Ovis aries: one gene and its partner. The main gene of each other region encodes a partner of the protein of the gene in region 2 in a complex. Links are inferred from orthologs where the notes say so. Each region holds a gene or a part of one and is shown on either strand. Other genes may lie near its edges.

Region 1 (10,716 bases), about 120 Mb from region 2:
GCATAGGTCTGTCAGCAGAGGCAGGACTAGAACCCAAGTCCCTTCCCTCTCTCACCCAGGGTCCTTCTTTATGGGCAAGTTACTGGCAGCATGTACTCTTCCCTTTATTACAAAGGTAAAAATATAGGGGCATCTCAATTCTGTCATAGATGGTCCTTTGTAAGTTAAGAGGAAACTGCTGCCCTCCTCCCACTGAGGGGTGTGTATATTTGGATGGATCTTCCAAAAGGGGAAATTTAGTTGCGCCTGATTCATCCCTCTGGTCCTCAAGCTCTCTTGAAGCTGGCTTCCTTACTCTCTTCTTTCCCTCAGCCCCTGTAAAATGGCAGGAGAGAGGCTGATGAACAGGCATGGGTTCAAATCATGATTTTACTGTTTCCCCATATGTGACGTTGGACCCGTCTTAATCTTTTGGAATCTTAGTTTCTCCATCTACAAAAAGGGAAATAAACACAATGGAATGTACTGTAGCTGCGAAATAATGAAGCTCTTTATACACTGATACGACACAATTGCTTCTCAGGTGGGTCAGTGGCAAAGAATCCACCTGCCAGTGTGGGAGATGCAGGAGATGTGGGTTCAATCCCTGGGTCGGGGAGATCCCCTGGAGGAGGAAATGGCAACCCACTCCAGTATTCTTGCCTGGAAAGTTCCATGGACAGAGGAGCCTGGTGGGCTACAGCCCATGGAGTCTCAAGGAGTCGGACACAACTGAGCAACTGAGCGCACACACACACACACACACACACACACACAATGACATAATCTCCAAGATGCATTAAATGGGGGGAAAAAGTCAATGTGCAGAATAGTCTCTATAGTATGCTCAGTTCAGTCGCTCAGTCATGTCTGACTCTGCGATCCCATGGAATAGTATGCTCCCAAACCTCAAAAAAAAAAAAAAAAAAAAGAGGCAGGGGAGGAAAACATAAGTTTTCTTGCTTATATACACAGAAAGCTTCACGACATACGAGAAGCCATAATAATGGATGATGTCTGGGGTGGGAGTAGAATAGAGGTGAGGAGGTGAAGAAGAGAACAGAGTATCTGGGAATCAGTGGAGGAAAACGTTTTACTACATTCACTGGTGCCTTTGAATTCTGAACCGTGTAAATGTATATTGCCTACTCAAAACTTTTTAATTCGAATTTGAGAAGTATACAAAGAGGCAGGTGAATAATATGCACGCTTCATAGAGATGTGAGGTCTAAATTAAATAGTGCCCCTAAAGTAATTAGTACCGTGCCCGGCACATACGTCAGTGCGTGAACACTGGTTGTTTTTAGAGGTATCAGTTGTGCCAGCCAACCCCCATCTGCCTCCCTCACTTCCCACTCTCCCTATCATCAACCTGTTAGCTGATGCACTCCCCTCAAGGAAAGCTCGACCTTTTCTTGCCTCCCAGGCTCATATACTGGCTGACCTTCGCTGTGGGCCGCTCCTTCCGAGGCTTTGGCTACGGCCTGACGTTCCTGCCTCTGCTGTCCATGCTGATGTGGAACTTCTACTACATGTTCGTGGTGGAGCCTGAACGCATGCTCACTGCCTCCGAGAGCCGCCTGGACTACCCTGACCATGCCCGCTCAGCCTCAGACTACAGGCCCCGCTCCCGGGGCTGAGCTGCCCCACCCCCTTCGTTCCTGGGTGGGATGAACCCACCTACTGCCCCGACAGGGGTGCCATCCAATCAGAGTGTGGGGTGCTCCCTTCATCTTAGGAGCCTGGGACAATTATGTGGGAGGGACTTAAACAGTCTTTCAGGGAAAGAGGTGGACAGCCATGTTCCTTAAGAATGCTGAGGACATGGGACCAGGGGCAGAGGCATGGTTCCTTCCTTAGTAGCCTCTGCTGCCACCAGGGTCCACAAAGACTGGACTCTGCTGCCCACTCTGCAGCCTCCTGCTTGAGGCAGCTGGCAGAGCACAGCCGAAACTCTGACCTTTTCTGTGCTGGCTGTCTAAGCAGAGGGCCTCCAAGAGACTGGAAACATTGCCTATGTCTTAGGTAAAGGCTGGGCATCACATCAAATAGGACTTTCCTGTTTGGTGAAAACCCTTCTGGGGACCTGGGTTCAGGACCCTCCATGACTGGCCTTCCTAGGCCCTTTAGCCTCAGCCAAGTCAGTTACAGCTGCTCCAGCCCAGAGTGGCTGACTCCTCTCTTCCAACCCTTTAGGTCCCTGTAACTTTGCACCTCCAAAGTGCCCAGTCATCTCTCTCCTGTGGGAAGAGGAGCAGACAGGGAAACCTGCTTCCTAAGAGGTGTGTGTGTGTGTGTGTATGTGCGTGCATGCCCACACGCACATGGCTGGGAGTGGTTGGAAAGCATGGTGGTTGATGTTAAACCCGTCTGAATGTGTATATAATAATAAATGATTAATACCACAGTCTTTCTTGGCTCTTCCGTAGGGTTTGCCCCTCAACCTCAAGTGTCCCTTCCTTGTTTGATTCAAACTGCACCAGAAACCTCCCAGCTCCACATATTGAAGAGTGGCTGGCAGGAGCCTGGTCCCATGGCAAGGGAGAGAACTAAGCCTGATGAGGAAATGGGGCTTCAAAAAGAACTTGCCTTCCACGCCCCACCTCCAGCCCTCTCATTCCCTGGAACCAGGTCCAAACCTGCCCAACAATGCACCACATTGAGAGACAAGCCCTGTGGAAAAAAAAAAAAAAACTATTCTATTTCATGCCTTCCAGTGCAGCAAACAGTCAGAAGGCCTCTCTCATTTAGGCCTGTGAGTCCCATTCAAGGGAAATGGGATGGTGGAGGAACAGGGAGGCAACACGGAGGGGACCCTCCCTCTGGCAATCATTCTGTGTCTGGTCCCTCCTCAGAGTTGGAAGGAAGCCCCACCTGGGTCCCCCAGGAAGTTGAGGCTGATCCGAGGTTCTACCGAACAGGAAGATACAAAAGAGGAGGAGCTGCCTGGGAATACTGACCCTCAAACCTGCAGACCAGCAAGGCAGGTCCAGTAATGTCCTTTCCTCTAGAGAGCAGGCCTCAATTTATGGACTGGTATTCAGAGTCCCGCTTGCGGCCCAGCAGCAGAAACAGGCCTCCTGCCAGCAGCGTGAGTGCTGGGGCACCTAGGGCCACTGCCATGATGCCTAGGACTAGCGGGGACAAGGCATCCACTGGAGGGCTGCCCACACCCAGGAGCATGGACCTAGAGCAAGCAGAGTGAGAGAGAGAGAGAGTCAGGCTTAGGAGGGAAGGCTGAGAGGCCTAGCCTTCCTCCTCTGCAACCTCCCAAACCCACAGCCCAGGCCTCGACTCTCACCAGCTGAGGTAGTGTTGGTCCCAGTAGCCAGGGCCTGTGGGAGCCCCAAATGTCAGATTGAAGGCACAGGAGTGGTCCTGGGTCTTAAAGAAGGCTCGGACAATGGGCGACTGGGGGAGAAGGTATGCCAAGGTGGGGTGAAGTGGGGAAGATTGGCAGGGCATGGCGGAGTCCCGGCTGCCCTGCTTCTGGGAGAAAGCCACTGGTCGCCACTGCATGAAGCCTGATGGGAGGGAGCCCCACAGCAGCTGGTCCAACTGAGGAGAAATGCAAACACACAGGTTGAGGAGGACAGAAGATACTTGGCCATTCTGTTCCCCCGCCCTTTCACAGCCTCCCTCTGTCACGAGCGGTCCTGAATCCTAGGCCTGGTTCTAGAACTCGCAGCTGGGTGGCGCCGAGTCCTTTCCCAGTCTCAACACTCAGCAAGCCTGCACCAGCTCCCCACTCTGGGACCCCAGGCCCTTGCGCAGCCCACCGGTTGGAGCAATAGTCACGCTGCGCCGCCTTTCCTCTGGGCTAAATTCATTAGCAGAGCGTTCAGCACTTAAAGGAACTGAATGAGGTGTTGCTAAACAGTGAGTTGTTGAATGATAGAGTCCCCTTTCACACCCCCACCTGTCTGCTTCTCTGCCGGAAGCCTCACCTGGAAGACAGCGGGGGCGTACTCGTCATCGATGGAGTGCTGCTCCTGCATTGAGGGGCAGCCAGGGCCCTGGCCCAAGGTGGCTACCTCCAGCCCAAACAGGGAGCGGTTTCCCCTGGGAGAGGCCCCAACCAGGGCCACCTCTAGCTGGCAGGTGTCCGCCGAGTGCAGGAGGCGAGGGGGTTGGGCTGGTCGGCCGGATGTGGAGAAGGCCTGGACCTAAGATGGAAGAGGCATGGGAGAAGTGGGAAGCGGGTGGATGCCTGTGTTTGAAGGCGACCCCTATCATTAACTCCCACCCTCATAAACCAGCCTTTCGAGTTCAAATTCCCTATATCCTTACCCTGAAGGCCAGGCTGCCATTGGCAAAAGCCCCAGTGGGGTCGTGAACGGGGTGGCCTCGAAATGTGGCACTGAGGGTGGCAGGATCCAGCGAGTCAGTGATGTTGTTCCAGGAGAAATTGGCCAAGGAGTACGGAGGATATGATCTTCCTGGAGGCCTTGAGGCCGCATCGGACATATTGGTGCTGTCAAACTCAAACAGCTGTGGGGGGAGAGGGGGAGGGGTGGGGAGGGACAAGGTTTGCCCGAGTCCACCTTTCTCCTGAATCACCACCCCGCACTCACTGGCCCCACCCCAGGCTCTCGCACATGACTCTACTTCACCTACTCCCAGTCTTCAATTTCTCCCTCTAACTGGAATGAACCCTCTCCTCTGCACTCTTCCCCTTGGATCTCCCCCAACCTCCTCACCCTGGTAAAGACAAGGGCAGAAGAAAATTGGATGCTCTCCTCGGGGAGCACCATCAGGCCCCCGTCAGGATCAGAGGAGAGCAGGAGGCTCCAGTTGACACTCAGGGTGCTGTTGGGGGTGTTGGTGGCCACCAACAGCACTGCTGGGGGACCCAGGCTGCTCCACACATAGTGCAGCGTGGAGTTGGTGCCCACTGCCCGAATATGAAGCAGGTTCTGGGAAAAGTCCGGCACGTTAGAGATGACCTTCAGAGACACCTGGAACAAGGAGTAGAGGCTGGTCAGGAGAAGAGGGTCAGGGAGAGACACAGGACAAAGATGTCTGGGGATGACAGGGGGCTTGCAAAATGATGGGAAAAGAGTGCAAGAGGAATGTTTGTGGGAGCTAAGAGAACCTTACTGTCAAGGGCAGACATGGGCTGGAGGAGAAGCAGGGAGAGCCCAAAATGCCCTAACCCTGGTGGAGAGGTCAGGGCATACGGCTGAGAGGAAGGAAAAAATGCAACACTTGCTTGGACCTGGCTCACTCAGGGCTAGGTCAGGGTCCAGGTTCTACCACATCCGTCCTACTCCATCGTCCTGTACCGTGACCCACGGCTGCCCCGATTCCTCAACGCAAGCACCTTTCATCCCCACCCTTCCGTTGTCCTAGATTCCAACCACCCTTCAAGGCAGCATATGCTGAAACACCTACTGCTCTAGCCCCTCACCTGGCGGGTCTCCTCCCCCAGCAGGCCAAGCGGAGCTGCCGTCAGTAGACTCAGGAGGAGCACGGGGCTGGGGGCACAGAACCCCCAACCCCGGCTAGGCTTTTCATAGCCGCTCATGTGGTCCCGAATTCAGAGAGCGGAAGAGACGCTGAAGTCATGTGACTCACAGATTCAGCTGATCTCTTAAAAGGGCGGGGCTGTCACAACAGTTCTTAAAGAGTCCGCCTCCCTTCCGTATTTGACTTAATAGAATCAGAAAGGTTAGGAGTTTGTCATCCACACCTGAGCTGGCAAGTAAGCCGTCTTAGACTAGATTTGCAGACACACTCCTAACCTCTCCTACCCAACTGGTTCCACTAAAGTTATCTACAAGGGGGCATGATATCTGGATTCAAACATCCAATGGAATCTACAGGAAGACTGTGGCAGGGAAGGCACAGATAATTTGAAACAATTCAGTGGGGGAATAGCACATCTCAGAGGGTTCTTTTTGTCAGTTATCAATAATTATTGAGCCCCTGGCTATGCAGGGTCTTGTCTTGGAAGACAGCTCACAATTTTACTGTGCAGAAAAGAAACCTCAGAAAACAAGACATGAAAGTGATACACAATTGTCATAGAACTGAATACATAACTCAGAGCATGCCTGGCTGAATGAACGCGCTTCTGGTTTTTCTTAATCCTAGTCATTTTAGCTAAGAAAAAATGCACACGGTACAGTATTTATAAAGTACCAGAGGATATCAGCAACCTGGGTCCTTCCTTGAGACAACCATTATTACCAGTTTCTTATGTGTCCTTCCTAAAATATTCTGTGTGCTCATGTTTATGTATTCCTTTTTCTGGCCACACCACATGACATGTGGGATCTCAGTTCCCCAACTAGGGATTGAATCCATGCCCTGCAGTGGAAGCAGTCTTAACCACTGGACTGCATATATACATACATATTTACTACTACTATATACACACATGTGGGTAATAAGATACCATGGAATCCACTGTCTAGAAATTTTTTTCACATATATTGAGGACTATTCTGCCTCTCTCCAGTCTTTCATTGCAAGGGGGATATTCCACGGATATACTTAGCCAGAACCTTGATAGTATCCAACATTTTGCTACAGGCAAAAAACACTGAAAAGAATATCCCTGTATGAACAGCATTTCATATATATTTGTAACCAAATCTGTAAGATTAATACTCAGGAGCAGAATTGCCTCCAGTTGCCTTCTATGAAGTTCAATTGATTACACCATGTTTGAGGGCCCATTTCCCCAACACTTTGACAAGTGCTTACCAAACAATTTGCATTTCCCGATGAATAAAATGAAACACTTCTCCATGTTTTATTAGTCATTTATTTTTGCTTCCCTGGAACTATTTATACCTTTTGCCTATTTTTCTGAGTCCCTATCATTCATTCATTTATTGCCACACAGCACAAGATCTTAAGTTCCCTGACCCATGATGGAACCTGCACCTTTGGCAGTGAAAGCATGGAGTCTCAAGGAGTGCCAGGGAATTCCCCTGCTATGTTAAGTGTATAGTTTAAGATTTACTTTTGACTGTGCTGGGCCTTTGTTGCTGTGTGTGGGCTCCAGTAGCTGTGCTCAGGCTTGGCTGCCCCAAGGCATGTGGAATGTTCCCAGACCAGGGAACTCATGTCCCCTGCACTGGCAGGCAAATTATTAACCACTGGACCATCAGGGAAATCCTGATGAGCGTATTTTTAAACCTCATGGTTTTTTAGTGCTCTTATATTTAAATCTTTCAGTTGCCAGAAACTAATTTTGCTGTAAGAAACAAAGAAAGGATCCAGTTTCATTTTTTTCCCTCTGATGGCTAGTCTAGGATAAACTCAAGTTTCCTTAAAATTTTTCATTTTTTTTTTCTGACCATGCTACCCAAAGCAACCTATAGATTTAATGTGATCCTTATCAAATTAGCCATGACATTTCTCACAGGAATTAGAACAAACCCTAAAATTTATACGGAACCATAAAAGACCCAGAACTGCCAGAGCAATCCTTAGGGAAAAGAACAAAGCAGGAGGGACAACCCTCCCAGACATCAGACACTACTACAAAGCTACAGTAATCAAAACAGCCTGATGCTGGCACAAAGACAGACATATGAGTCAATGGAACAAGAGTCCAGAAGTAAACACATAACACCTACGGACAACTCATCTGTGACAAAGAAGGAAGAATATAGGATGAAGAAAAGCATCTTCAGCAAGTTGTGTTGGAAAAGCTGGACAGTCTCGTGTAAATCAAAGAAGGTAGAACACACCTCATACCATACACAAAGTGAAAGTGAAAGTCAGTCGTGTCTGACTCTTTGCGAGCCCATGGACTATACAATCCATGGAGTTCTCCAGGCCAGAATACTGGAGTGGGTGGCCTTTCCCTTCTCCAGGGGATCTTCCCAACCCAGGGACTGAACCCAGTCTCCTGCATGGCAGGCAGATTCTTTACCAGCTGAGCCACAAAACGAACTCAAATGGCTTACAGAAAACATATGCATGTGAAAATCGCTTAGTCCTGTCTGACTTTCTGTGACCCCAAGGACTGCAGTCCCCAGGGCTCCTCCGTCCACGGAATTTTCCAGGCAAAAATACTGGAATGGGTTGCCATTTCCTTCTCCAGGGGATCTTCCTAACCCAGCGATTGAACCTGGGTCTCCTGCATTGCAGGCAGACTCTTTTCCATCTGAGCCACTAGGGAGGTGGCAGACAATTTAAAGACATCATAAAACTCCTAAAAGAGAACATATGCCAAACATTCTCTGCCGCAAATCACACTGATGATTTCACAGGGTAGTCTCCCAAGACAACAGAAATAAAAGCAAAAGTGAACAAATGGGACCTAACCAAACTCACAAGCTTCTATACAGCAAAGGAAACCAGAAACAAAACTAAAAGACAACCTACGTACTGGAAGATATTTGCAAATGATGCGACCAACAAGCGATTAATTTCCAAAATATACAAAAAGGTCATACAACTCCACTGCAAGGAAAACACCACCCAACTGAAACGGGCAGAATACCTGAACAGATGTGTCTCCCAAGAAAACATACAAATGGCCAATAGGCAGATGAAAACATGCTCATCACACTGTTAAAGAAATGCCAATCAAAACTAGATTAAATCAACTATACTCCAATAAAAATTATAAACTATGAGCTTATATATATAGATACACACACACACCAGTCACCATGGCCATGTCACACCAAAAACATCTACAAAGGGACTTCCCTGGTGTGGTCCAGTGGTTAAGAATCTGTGCTTCCGGTGCAGAGGGTATGGACACGATCCCTGGCCAGAGAGGCAAGGACCTGCATGCTGTGTTGCACGTCCAAAAAAGAAAAGGAAAAATGACACAAATGAACATACTTGTGAAACAGAAACAGACTCACAGACACACAGAACGGACTTATGGTTGTCAGGATGGACAGAAGGATTGGCAGTCTGGGACTCGCAACATGCATACTACTCTATGTGGAATGCATAAACAAATCCTTCTGTACAGCACAGGGAGCCACACTCACTATCCTGTGATAGAGCAGAATAGAACAGAACAGGAAAAAGAATATACACCAATATAAGTCACCCTGCTGTGCAATAGAATTAACACTGTAAATCACCTATACTTCAAATTTAAAAACCTTGAGAAAAAAAGTTGCACCCTCTCAAGTGTCACCTGTAGACTTGACAAGTGAGGATATACGAAAGTGTCTTGGCTGAGTACATGGTGTTTAACAGGATTCAAGGCTCTTCCCATCCCCAAAACACTGCTTTATGAGGGGGCAGGTGCAGAATAGAATTTAGTTGAATCCAGGAATTTGCCAGAGAATCATGACAAAGTCAAGGTGGCAGCAAAAACTGTGCTCATGGAATCACTTTAGAGCCCAGGCAGGCAACATAGTTGCTTGGGTAGACTTTAATGACTTAAATTTAGGCTTTGAAAAGCACAAAGGGGCTCTGAAAGCTCTGATGAAGGACAGAGATTGATCTAACATTCCAGGAGGAATTTCCATAGGTTAGATACTATGTACAATTAATTATCCATGTATTTAACCATTAGATGTAAAACCAGAATGGACCTAGAAAAGTGTAAAGAACAAATGGGAGGCAATTCCTCCCTCCATTATTTTTAGGTCTTTTAAGCACCATCTCTTCAAGATCTTTGAGAATTAACTCATTATCTTTCTTAATGTCTGAAAACTCTTGACGGAATTAACTCTTCATGTAGAGGCAGGGATTTCAGCAAAAGGTGGGTAGGCTTATTTCAGAGCCTCTCATAGAAAAGGAAAAGCTCAAAATTTTAGACCGGGTTAAGCAGCAAATTAAATACCAGGTGTGATGAGAGCAGATCTCCACAGGCCCTTTTCCATAGCACACCTCTGTTCAGTCATCATTGCTAGTTGTAAATGCAACTTTAGAGCCAGACCATCTACCCAGGAATTCTAGGCCTGCCACTTATCATTTTTGTGACCCTTGGACAAATTACTTTATGCTTTGGATTCCTAATAAAACAGGGTTATTACCCATCTTACAGGGTTCTTTTAAGGACTGGCTAATACATGCGAAGTGACCAAAACATACCCATTCTACAACAAGCACTATGTGCTAGCCATTATCATGCCACCTGGTATTAAACTTAGTAATACTAACTCTTGTAGTCACGGAGGAGATACAATCTGGTGGCATGAGTCATGAGGACAGAAGGAATGGGACAGCGTAGAGGAAGGTCTCTGAAGAAATCAAAGGCTAGCCCCACCTAGCCTCCAGAGTCTCAGGGTCACAAGACTTTTTTTTGTCTTGATAAAAATGAAGCACAAAATGGGACATCTTTTGTTACTGTTAGCAGGGCAAGTAGAGATCCTACTGCGACACAAACACACCAGGAAAATAAGCCAGCCAGCCAGAACAGACTGGAATCAGGAAGAACCCTGGGAGACAGCAGAGAAAGAATTCTAGGTAGGACAGCAAAGATTCTGGAAAGCTACAGGATACAGTACAAAAAACACATGCTCTGTGTTCTTCAGGATGAACGCCAGAGCCCTGGCACCTACTGCGTGTTGCTCTACATATAACCACACACAAGGAATACCCATAGTTTGGACAGGGTCTTCCTGTTCTTTGGGTGGTGAATGCGAAGTTGTGCTGCTTTAAGCCTTACAGTATCAAGCTTTGAATTCAAGAGCCATCCCAACTAGCATCTACTGAGAATTGTGAAGAATACCCTCTCAAAAAGACTAAGTTACCTAATGACCTCAATCCCCATCTTTCCTTTCTTTCTCCGCAGTAAAGTTT
Region 2 (10,064 bases):
GGAAGCCCGTTTCCCTTGCTCCATCCAGGATAGGCCCTCATCACCTCTAATCTTCCTAATATCTAGTAATCCTCATTGTTATTGAAGCTCTAGCTTTGTCACCCTCAAGAGTTCTGTCATGAAGCTGGGCAACCACCACAGGTCTGGCGTCCTTGCTGCTCTGCTAGAAATTTCTACCTTGCATGGCTCCTCATGAAACAAGCTTCGTCGTTCGTACTCTGGAGTTCCCGCTCTCATTCCCAGATCAACTCACTCAGTTGTTTCATGCTTGCATCTTTATTATCCGTAACGCTCCCCTCACCTCCAAAACCCACCCCTTCATAAAGAACCAAGACTGACTCATTCTTATTAATTCTAGTTTAGGTATGAACTTTCAGGATCTTTACTACTCCTCACCCCCTCGCCGTCACTTTCCCCTACAGCTGGTTAAACGGTACACTTACTCTCCGTTTCCCAAACGCCTTTCCCTGACATTCCGCTAGAATTCAGTGCTCATCTCAGCCGCAGTCCTCACTACACTCATTCATTCGCCATACGGTATTAGTTTCTGCCGCTCTCTCCAACTGAACTGTGAACTCTTTGAGGTCCGAGAGCTTGTCACATTCCACTTAGTTTCCCCAGTACCTGAAACACATCATAAGGTGCTCAATCAACTGTGTGTTATTAAGAGCAGCAAAGAAGCGGCGGAGAGCAATAGTAAGAGGAGCGCTGCGCGCGTTCTCGCGTCCTTCGCGCAGGTGGGATCTCGCAGGAGGAGCCTGGCGTCGGGCCCGACGGGAGGCCCGCACTTTCTCCGGAGGAGCGGCACGGAGTCGGCAGCGGGAGCAAAGCAGGAAAAGAGAGGACAGCGCCCCCCGCTTAGGAAGTTCCGAGTGAAAAACTCACGCCGCCGTTCCCCTTCGCGCCCCGCCGGTCCGGCCCACCGAGTACCACGCCCACTCACAGGAGCGTAGCCGTGCGTGATCTGCCGCGGCGTCACGTGAGCGGCTGCGGTCACGTGAGCAGTTTGCTCCGGGCTCCGGCAGCGGCTTCCTCCTGGAGTTGCACTCGCTGTCATCTCTCGGTCTCCCGCGGGCTCGATGGAGGACGAGGATGAGGAAGCGAGGGCGCTGCTGCCAGGCGGCTCGGACGAGGCGGGCAGAGAAACCCAGGCTGCCCCCGCTGCCTCCGGGGCGCTGCAGGCCCTCTGCGACCCCAGTCGCCTAGCGCACCGGCTCGTGGTTCTATTGCTGATGTGCTTCCTTGGCTTCGGTGAGCCGGCCGGCCTGGTGGGGTGGGACTGGTAATCAAGGAATTCCAGACTGTCTCGGAGTTGCGTTGAACTCCTAGGTCCTCCCGCTCTTCCTCCAACACCTTCGCGACCCCATTCAAGCCTGTTGCTGGCTCTTCAGTGTCCCGAAGGTGGGGGTCAAGGGACTGAGCCGAGCGACTTTTGTCCCACTCTCGCAAGAAGTTCCAAAAGCTAGCAATTTGCCTTCTGGGGCTATAGATACGAGAGAATCCTTAGATGTCAAGGTTCCTCTCAGGACACTTTGTTTAGAGGGAATTCAGAAAGATGTAATCCCCTCCCCCAAAGAAGCCTCCAAAAATACTTTAAAGTATTTAAAGAATACTTTAAATATTTTGATGGAAGAATTCGTTGGCAGTCGTTTATGTATCTCTTCCTCTTTGGCAAAAGGTATGAGTGTGTCTTGTTGATTGCTTCAGTGGGTAGATGTATTCTACTTCTCCCCTCTGCTAATCTGAAGCAATCCTACTGGACTGGACTTGTGCTGTTTGGTTTCAGTTACGAAATTTGGTGACTGTGAAAGCAGTTTCTGGAGATTAAAAAATATCCGCTTATTATGTCCCAGCAACTAATTTTTCCAGTAACATTCTGTGTCAGTATCAGCTTGGTGTGAAAGTAATAATGTATTTTTCGTGGACTCGCTTGATTTGGTGTAATCAACAGGTTTATGGTGGATACCTTTCTGCTACTGCTGGAATATATAAGTAGGCATGGAGGCTGCTTTGTGCTTTAGTTTCTTTGCATCTCTTTTTATTTCCCCTTCTTTTCACTTTGTGGAAAGATGGTGCCCATTCATTAATTTTGAAGCCTGACATTGATATTCCTTTGATAAGATATGATTCCTTTGACATTGATATGCCATTAAAACAGGATTCATAAAGTTCTGAGTTTAGGAACAAAAAATCGAGAACAACACAAAATACTTAAAATTGCCCCTACTTTAACAATTTATTTTTGGTGATTTTTATGTTTACCTTCAATGGGTTTCAGAAGCCAGAGTCATAACTTTTCTAATGACAATTTTATTTCTTTTGAACTGGTTGTTTCTGTGTATACTTCTAGACGGAGTTAGTGGAGAAACAGGGGCAGCATTATCTCCTGGCTTATCAAAACTCTGTTGATTTTATTACTGTAAAAAGTCCAACCTCTCTCCACTTCTTTCTTTCTGACCCTCCAGAAGATGTTACTATGTTTTAATTTAACCTTTTAGAACTCTGTTTTATTTTTCTTCATTCCTGGCTGTGTATCTGCTGAGTTATTTGATCTTGGATATACTGTTTGTGAAATTAGAATTCTTATTTTGAAAACAGATCTAATCAGAGTAGTTAAACTCCATTCCTGTGTGCTCAAGTGGTGGCTTTAGGTAACATTACTAGGAAACTACTGAGGATGTTTTGACGTGTGTGTGTGTGTGTGTGTGTGTGTGTGTGTTGGTAGCTTTAAGGAAAATATAGCTGTTTCATGAAGATGCTAATAAAACAATAGACATAGGAAACAGGATGAAAGTAAGGTGGAAAAGGGTCTTCCTCCGCCTGCAATGTGGGAGACCTGGGTTTGATCCCTGGGTTGGGAAGATCCCCTGTAGAAGGGAATGGCAACCCACTCCAGCATTCTGGCCTGGAGAACTCCATGGACTGTATAGTCCATGGGGTGGCAAAGAGTCAGACACAGCTAAGTGACTTTCACTTTCAAGGTGGAAAAACAGTTGTTGATTAACTTCTTAATCCAGGTTCCCAGTATTTGCTGTGTATGGAGGCTAATAATTTGTAAATCACTTGGTATGTTTTCTCTGGGTTATTTGGCTGCAACTTAGAAAGTATTAGTGGACAAGGAAGCAGTCCAAAAAGTTTCCAGTTTCTTTGAGTCCCTAGTATAAACATTTAAAATCACCACTGGAGTAGTAACTGCAACTTGAAACTTTTATATGGAAAGTATTACTAAAAAGAAATTTGCCTTTCCTTTTTCTAGGCAGCTACTTTTGCTATGATAATCCTGCTGCCCTTCAGATTCAAGTTAAACGGGTAAGTTGACTTTTCACCTGTTTCTTTTGTTGTCTCTGGAGCAGATATATAGCTGAAGCATCAACTCTCAGATTGCATGGTCCGAAACATTGTCTAATGAATCCATTTGAACATCTGTTGTCACCAAATCTGTGTAGGCAAGGAGTATTCTTGACTTGGAATGAGTGGCCACAAAGAATTCACTTATGGCACTTATGACTTAGTATTGTTTCATGCCTTAGATGAATAACTACTATTTCCACAGTGCAGCCCAAAAAGTATTGTGAATTTTTGTTGGCATTTCTCTCTCCCACTGTGTAATCATCAGAATGACAGATGATTTGGTAAGAGAGCATTTTGCTTTCTTAAGTATGTTATTGTCATTTCATTTTTAAAATGTGGATACTGATTCCAGAGGATTGTCTGTGTCAGTATTTTTGATATTTACAGTTTCCTATGTATTTAGATTTTTTTTTCCTTTGTAAGTTTTTTTTTTTTTTTAACATTTGGATAGGGAGAAACAACACAGATTGGCCCTTCACATTCTAGAATGAGTGAGAAAGACCAAGAATTAGTGAGGTAGGGGGAAAGGATATGCTAAAGATTGTTCTTTTTCATGTAGGTGAAGCCCTACAGCAGGTAGTACACAGGGAATAGAAAGGTAGAAGATACAAGCAGATGTAGGCAGAGGTGATCCCCATAGTGCAAGAGCTGATGGATGCTGAACCCCACGAGGCCTCTGAAATGACTGCAGACTCAAGAAGTTCCCAGGTGTGACCGTTTTTCTGGAGGTAGAGGCCAAAGCTGTTAGTAACAGTAAATGATTAAGAAATGCCTCCACTACCAGAAAGAATGTTTTGATTGTCAGTTGCTACATTTAACTGCTTTGAAAAAAATCATTTTGTTTTCTTTCCGTATAGGATATGCAGGTGAATACCACGAAATTCATGCTGCTGTATGCCTGGTATTCTTGGCCCAATGTAGTTTTGTGTTTCTTTGGTGGCTTTTTGATAGACCGAGTATTTGGAATACGGTAAGCTTGGGAAAAATCTCACTTATGGGTAAAGATGATTATTAAGAAAACATAAAACTAGATTAAGTATTTCTAGAAAGAACTGAATAAACTTTTATATTGAGTGTGTGACTCTGCATTTGTTTGTGTGTGTGTGTAATTTCGGTTTTTGAAACTTGGTTGGTATTTCAGTTAAATGCTGCTCATGGCATATGGTAACTCAGTTATCTAAAGGTAAATTATGCTCTCACTTGGAATCAGCAAGCCAGGTCTGATTTCTGTTGCTGCTACTTGCTCAGCTTCTTAGTTCTTCTGAGCTGTTCCTAGATTCCTGAGCCTCAGTTTTCTCATTGGTAAAATATGGATAGTATTTCCTGCCTTGCAAGGTGGTTATAAGGATTGAGGGAGATGGATGCGCAGTATTTGGCATGTGTTTACTGTTTACCTCTCCCAGCCCCAGTGAGATTTTCTCTTCTGCCTTTCTTTAGGCATTAAACTCTTTGTGACCACAGTTAGATGCTGAGGAAGGCATCACATTATTAGCTTTGTCAGTCTTCATCCTGATGATTGTGTGCTGTTTGTGGAGACTTTAGGAGGGATGTAGTCTGGAATATTTTCAGAAGGCAGAGGGCAAAATGACGATGGGCTTTCCAGCCGTGTGTGGTGAAAAAGAATTGAAGAAACTATATGTGTTTAAGCTTGGGGACTAACTTTTAAACACTCTGATGACTGTATAAAGGAGGACTTTAATTTGCTTGGTCTAAAGGGGTAGAATTTGCTTGAACTTGAAGGAAACAGATGCCATTTATGTGTGATGAAGATTTTGCTTGATCAGGATAACAGGAGAGGCCATGAGTTACTTTGGGAAAACTTTCAGTAGACTGTGGTATGACCATTTCACAAGGATTTTTGGAGGGACGTGGATTTCAGAAAGATGGTTTACTCATATGATCTTTAATGACTCTCCTAATACTGGTATTTTATTACTCTGGGGAAACATTAATGAGCTATTCAGAGTATGGAATGTTAGAGTAAGCAGATTTATATCATTTCTCATGGTCCCTGTTTTTCCTTTTAAAAATAGCTTTTAGTTATACAGAATTAATGGAGAAGGCAATGGCAACCCACTCTAGTACTCTTGCCTGGAAAATCCCATGGATGACGGAGCCTGGTCGGCTGCTGTCTATCAGGTCGCACAGAGTTGGACACGACTGAAGCAACTTAGCAGCAGCAGCAGCATACAGAATTAAAACCACTTAAAATTATTTAATATAGAATCCCTTGGAATCAACCCTAAACTCAGTAAAAAATTTGTGAAGAATGTCCATTTTTAAATGGGAACCCTGGGAACTTCTTGAACATTATTTAACAAGTTTTGTTTAAGAGATGATAATGGCTTAAACATGCCCTTACCAAAGCCTCTGGAATCCCTTTGGGATTAGAGACCTCTATGGATTAGCATTCAGCCTCGGAAAGCTGCTGATTTCAGAGGCCAACTAGAACCTCATTTTTCTTCCTTAGAGGGAATGCAGAAGAGTCTCAAGAAATCCAAAGTGAATTATTACTGAAGGATTTGGTGATAAACTCTTAATTCACTTTCTCTCTCTTTTTCTAACAGATGGGGCACCATCATTTTTAGTTGCTTTGTTTGCGTTGGGCAGGTAAGACAAATTGTTCACTGATTCACTGTGAACGCTGTCTCTTGAATTCTTGTCTACTTCACCAGCATGGATGTGTTTGGTGAAAGCCTAACTTGAGTAAGCAGAGTTCACAAATGCCCATGCGACATAATGCACAGTCCATTTTAAGCCTTGAGACAAATGAACATCGATACTTAAATTTCACAGATTTCCTAAGAAGAAACACTAAAATCATTGTAGAAGTTGTGTTTCATCATATGTTACTTATTTTGGATTCCTTGAATTTTCTTTTTCATTGATCCTACATTATATTCCATGTTATAGGTTGTTTTTGCCCTGGGTGGAATATTTAATGCTTTTTGGCTGATGGAATTGGGAAGGTTTGTGTTTGGGTAAGTTATGCATAATTTCATTTGTCTTAACAAATTACTGTTTTGGGGGCTTCCCAGGTGGCTCAGTGGTAAAAAATCTGCCTGCAGTGTAGGATAATTGCAGGAGATATGGGTTTGGTCCCTGGGTGGGGATGATCCTCTGGAGGTGGAAATGGCAACCCACTCCAGTATTCTTGCCTGGAAAATTGCATGGGCAGAGGAGCCTAGTGGGCTATAGTCCATGGAGCAAAGCATTGGACACGACTGAGCGACTGAACACACGCACACATTACTGTTCATCAATTTATTAAAGATTTGCCAGAATATATTATTGTATCTTCTGGAGAATTACTTCAAATCCTTGAAATCTACCTCTCTTTCTCTTTCTTTCTCTCTCTGTATGTGTGTGTGTGTGCATATATATATACACACACGGACACATACAACTGCTCAATTATTGTCTTAATTTTCCTTTCCAGTAAGCAACAATTTTGAGTGGTAATAATTAACTCTGTATAGGGTTTGAATATTAAATAGTTTTCCAGAGATGATGTTTTTCTTAGGTGTTTTGCTTTTCTGTTGTATTGAAGATTGTGATTTAAACCTCATGTAGAGAAGTATAGACTGTCAATTTCTAGCTTGGTGATGAATGGACATTTTGCTGTTTCTAATTGGGTAATGTGTAGGTCCTTTTGAATCATGTTGAAAAGACTTTAATGAGCAGATTACTAAAAGACCAATAGCTGTCAATGAATTTCCATGTCTGTTCTATAAGCTCATTCTCAATTCGGCCTTGGGCTTCCTGCCCGGAGGGATGCAGACAACCTAACTTACGCTTTTTACAGGTACCAGGGACATTTAGCCATAGGTGACACATCCCCAAAAGTGCTCTAAGTGAGGGAGAAGGGAAAAATGGTTTATTAAAATGTGAAAGGGACTCAGAGATAGATGTGTGATCAGAAATGGCCATCCATATAGGATGTGGATTCATAGAAGAGGGGAAATATTTTTAGATGAGGACAGTGGTGAGGAGGACTCAGTGTTTGGATGCAGAGAAGAGGAATCTCTTAGCTGAAGGTCAATATTTAGAACCTGCAGAAGGAAAATTAAAATCTGTAAAGTAGGAGAATGTCAAATATGGAAGATACTGGCCTAAAAAGTGTGAATCTATGTGTTTTCACAAAGTATGGACCACTCTTCCCAGATGAACATTTTATACAGCATAGATGATGATGTGGTAGCTCGAACCCCTTTTATTGCCAGGCAGAGTTGTCATTGCAGTATATTAAATTACCTGTACTTAGCAGTATAAAACTAGTAAATGCAGGTTTGTGTGCCTGATGCACAGTGAGGTACAGTGAAATGTAGGCGTTTAGAGCAGAGAAAGGTATATCGCAGAGCTATGCAAGGAGACGAGGTGGCTCATGCCCTAAAAAGCTTCACTCTCCTGGAAGGGTTTTGGCAAAGCATTTTAAAAGACAGACGAAGTGAGGATGTCTCAGGGTACCTGATCAGCTCATGCGCAATTCTGTTATTGGCTGATGATGGGTGGTGATGATGGGAGGAGTAGGGTGGTGTCACAGGGGTTAGCTGTATCAGCCCTTAGGCTCCCAGAGGCCTGGGCTGTGTGCTCATGGTCATCAAGTAGGTCTTCCTTTTGGTGGGGCCAGTTTTCACATCTGCAACACAACTCAGGAAATTTGTACCAAATACTATTATCTGTGTACTTCCGAGAGGAGCTGCAGCAGAGGATACAGGCAAAGGGCTGTCCCAGGAAGGCCCCATAGATCCTGGTCGGTTACAAAACCACCCTTACATCGTGGACTTCGTGGGTCAGGAATTTGGACTGGGTACAGTGTGGACAGTGTGTCTGCACCTGACGTCTGGAGCCTGGACCGGGGTGACTTGAGGACTGGCACTGCTGACTAGAGCACCTACACGTGGCCTCTCTGTGTGGCTTGGCTTTCTCATAGTGTGGCGGACTCAGGGTGCTTGGCCTTCTTACACAGTGGCTCAGGATTCTAGGTGTGAACGTTTGCGTGGAAAGGCAGATACCCCCTTTTCTATCCCAGCCCCACCTCCACCACCTTCTACTCATTGAAGCAATCACAAGTCCATCTAGATTCAGAGGAGGGGCGTAGATACTACCTCTTGACAGGAGGAGTGTCAAAATTTTATACCTGCTGCATTGCTAACTGTGGTATTTCTTTTAAAGCTGTGACTTTTCTTTCCTTGTTTTAGGATTGGTGGGGAGTCCTTAGCAGTTGCCCAGAATACATACGCTGTGAGCTGGTTTAAAGGCAAAGAGTTAAACTTGGTGTTTGGACTCCAGCTTAGCATGGCGAGAATTGTAAGTATGACATAACAAAGCCAAATAGGAAGCGAAAGATTGACTCTTGTAACCCTGTCTTAAAGATTACAGGATGAAGTATAGTTGTGTATAAGTTGTGTTGATTTTTTATATATTTTTCTAGACCATAATGTAGCATTTACCTTTAGTGAAGGCATTTCTAATCTTATTTCACCTAAGAGGAAGCAGTTTCAAATGCTAATTGAGCATTCATTAGTTCAGAGATTCTGAGCATTGGGACAGACGGATCACAGAGTTTTTATTCTTTACCCATTTTCAGCATTACTGCAGTGAAGGTCTTTATGTATGGTCATCCCGGCTCTGCTTGCACATTTCTAGTGCTAAGAAGCTCTGACTCATCTACTACAGTTAACTTTTTGTTTTTTAAACAAATTCTCAGAGTCGTGTCCCTTTATAAAAAGCGTCCAAATACATGATTATTATTCATTTGGCTGCCCTGGGTCTTAGTTGTGGCATACGGGTTCTTTACTTGCAGCACGTGAATTAAGTTGCAGCATGTGGATCTTAGTTCCCCAGCCAGGGATTGAACCTGGGTCCCCTGCATTGGGAGCATGGCGTCTTAGCCACTGGACTACCAGGGAAGTTCCAACTACAATTAACTTAGTGAAGCTCAGTCTCCCATAGAGATGAGATATGCCTGCACAAGTAGCTTTTACTGGTTGTTGGACTTCTGCCTTCTAGTGAGTGTTTATTTTCTGTCAGGCACTAGCATTTTGCTTACAAAGACAGATCTCAGGGTCTTGGTCAGACATACTCATTTCCTGTGCTTGTCTAAACCATGTGGCCTGGGTTTCAGTTCCCTGACTGTGGTGCTCCTGCCTCTCTGGACTTCACTGTGGTTGGTCATGCTTCTTCCAGCATTTGGAACGTGGAAAGGATCATGGTGTTTCATGATAGATGGTCTGGTAGAGGGTACCCAGGGGAGCAACATTCAGTTCAGTTTGGTCGCTCAGTCGTGTCCGACTCTTTGCGACCCCGTGAATTGCAGCATGCCAGGCCTCCCTGTCCATCACCAACTCCTGGAGTTCACTCAAACTCATGTCCATCGAGTCGGTGATGCCATCCAGCCGTCTCATCCTCTGTCGTCCCCTTCTCCTCCTGCCCCCAATCCCTCCCAGCATCAGAGTCTTTTCCAGTGAGTCAACTCTTCGCATGAGGTGGCCAAAGTACTGGAGCTTCAGCTTTTTTTTCTTTTTCCTTCCAAAGAAATCCCACAGCTGATCTCCTTCAGAATGGACTGGTTGGATCTCCTTGCAGTCCAAGGGACTCTCAAGAGTCTTCTCCAACATCACAGTTCAGAAGTATCAATTCTTCGGCGCTCAGCCTTCTTCACAGTCCAACTCTCACATCCATACATGACCACAGGAAAAACCATAGCCCTG

What was found. Proteins that work in one complex are often made in the same cells at the same time.
Region 1: the proteins of MFSD1 (region 2) and GLMP are in contact, whole or in part, in a cryo-EM structure (PDB 8R8Q), measured with the Mus musculus proteins. The link is inferred for Ovis aries from reciprocal best matches to the Homo sapiens genes MFSD1 and GLMP. Residues at the interface, in NP_080089.1 of Mus musculus: Val288, Glu292, Lys293, Arg295, Phe349, Phe351, Leu411, Asp412, Lys414, Gly415, Tyr416, Leu417, Leu418, Val421, Ile424, Ser428, Leu432, Val435, Leu439; in NP_064387.1 of Mus musculus: Glu250, Asn252, Ser253, Ile254, Asp255, Asp256, Glu257, Pro260, Ala261, Phe263, Gln264, Arg292, Phe364, Leu367, Val368, Ile371, Met372, Ala375, Ala378, Leu381, Met382, Gly385, Phe389.

What each region holds. Positions count from the first base shown.
Region 1 is NC_056054.1:106,293,476-106,304,191, forward strand, and holds GLMP (glycosylated lysosomal membrane protein), read right to left. Parts: upstream 5,540-10,716; 5' UTR 5,507-5,539; coding exon 5,390-5,506; intron 4,938-5,389; coding exon 4,680-4,937; intron 4,471-4,679; coding exon 4,270-4,470; intron 4,146-4,269; coding exon 3,927-4,145; intron 3,538-3,926; coding exon 3,281-3,537; intron 3,167-3,280; coding exon 3,001-3,166; 3' UTR 1,620-3,000; coding exon of another isoform or gene 1,406-1,619; 3' UTR 473-1,405; downstream 1-472. Other genes in the region: TMEM79 (transmembrane protein 79), read left to right, coding at 1,406-1,619. UniProt on the Homo sapiens protein: Required to protect lysosomal transporter MFSD1 from lysosomal proteolysis and for MFSD1 lysosomal localization.
Region 2 is NC_056054.1:229,453,155-229,463,218, reverse strand, and holds the start of MFSD1 (major facilitator superfamily domain-containing protein 1), read left to right. Parts: upstream 1-1,003; 5' UTR 1,004-1,079; coding exon 1,080-1,251; intron 1,252-3,256; coding exon 3,257-3,309; intron 3,310-4,208; coding exon 4,209-4,321; intron 4,322-5,918; coding exon 5,919-5,961; intron 5,962-6,264; coding exon 6,265-6,332; intron 6,333-8,552; coding exon 8,553-8,661; intron 8,662-10,064. UniProt on the Homo sapiens protein: Lysosomal dipeptide uniporter that selectively exports lysine, arginine or histidine-containing dipeptides with a net positive charge from the lysosome lumen into the cytosol.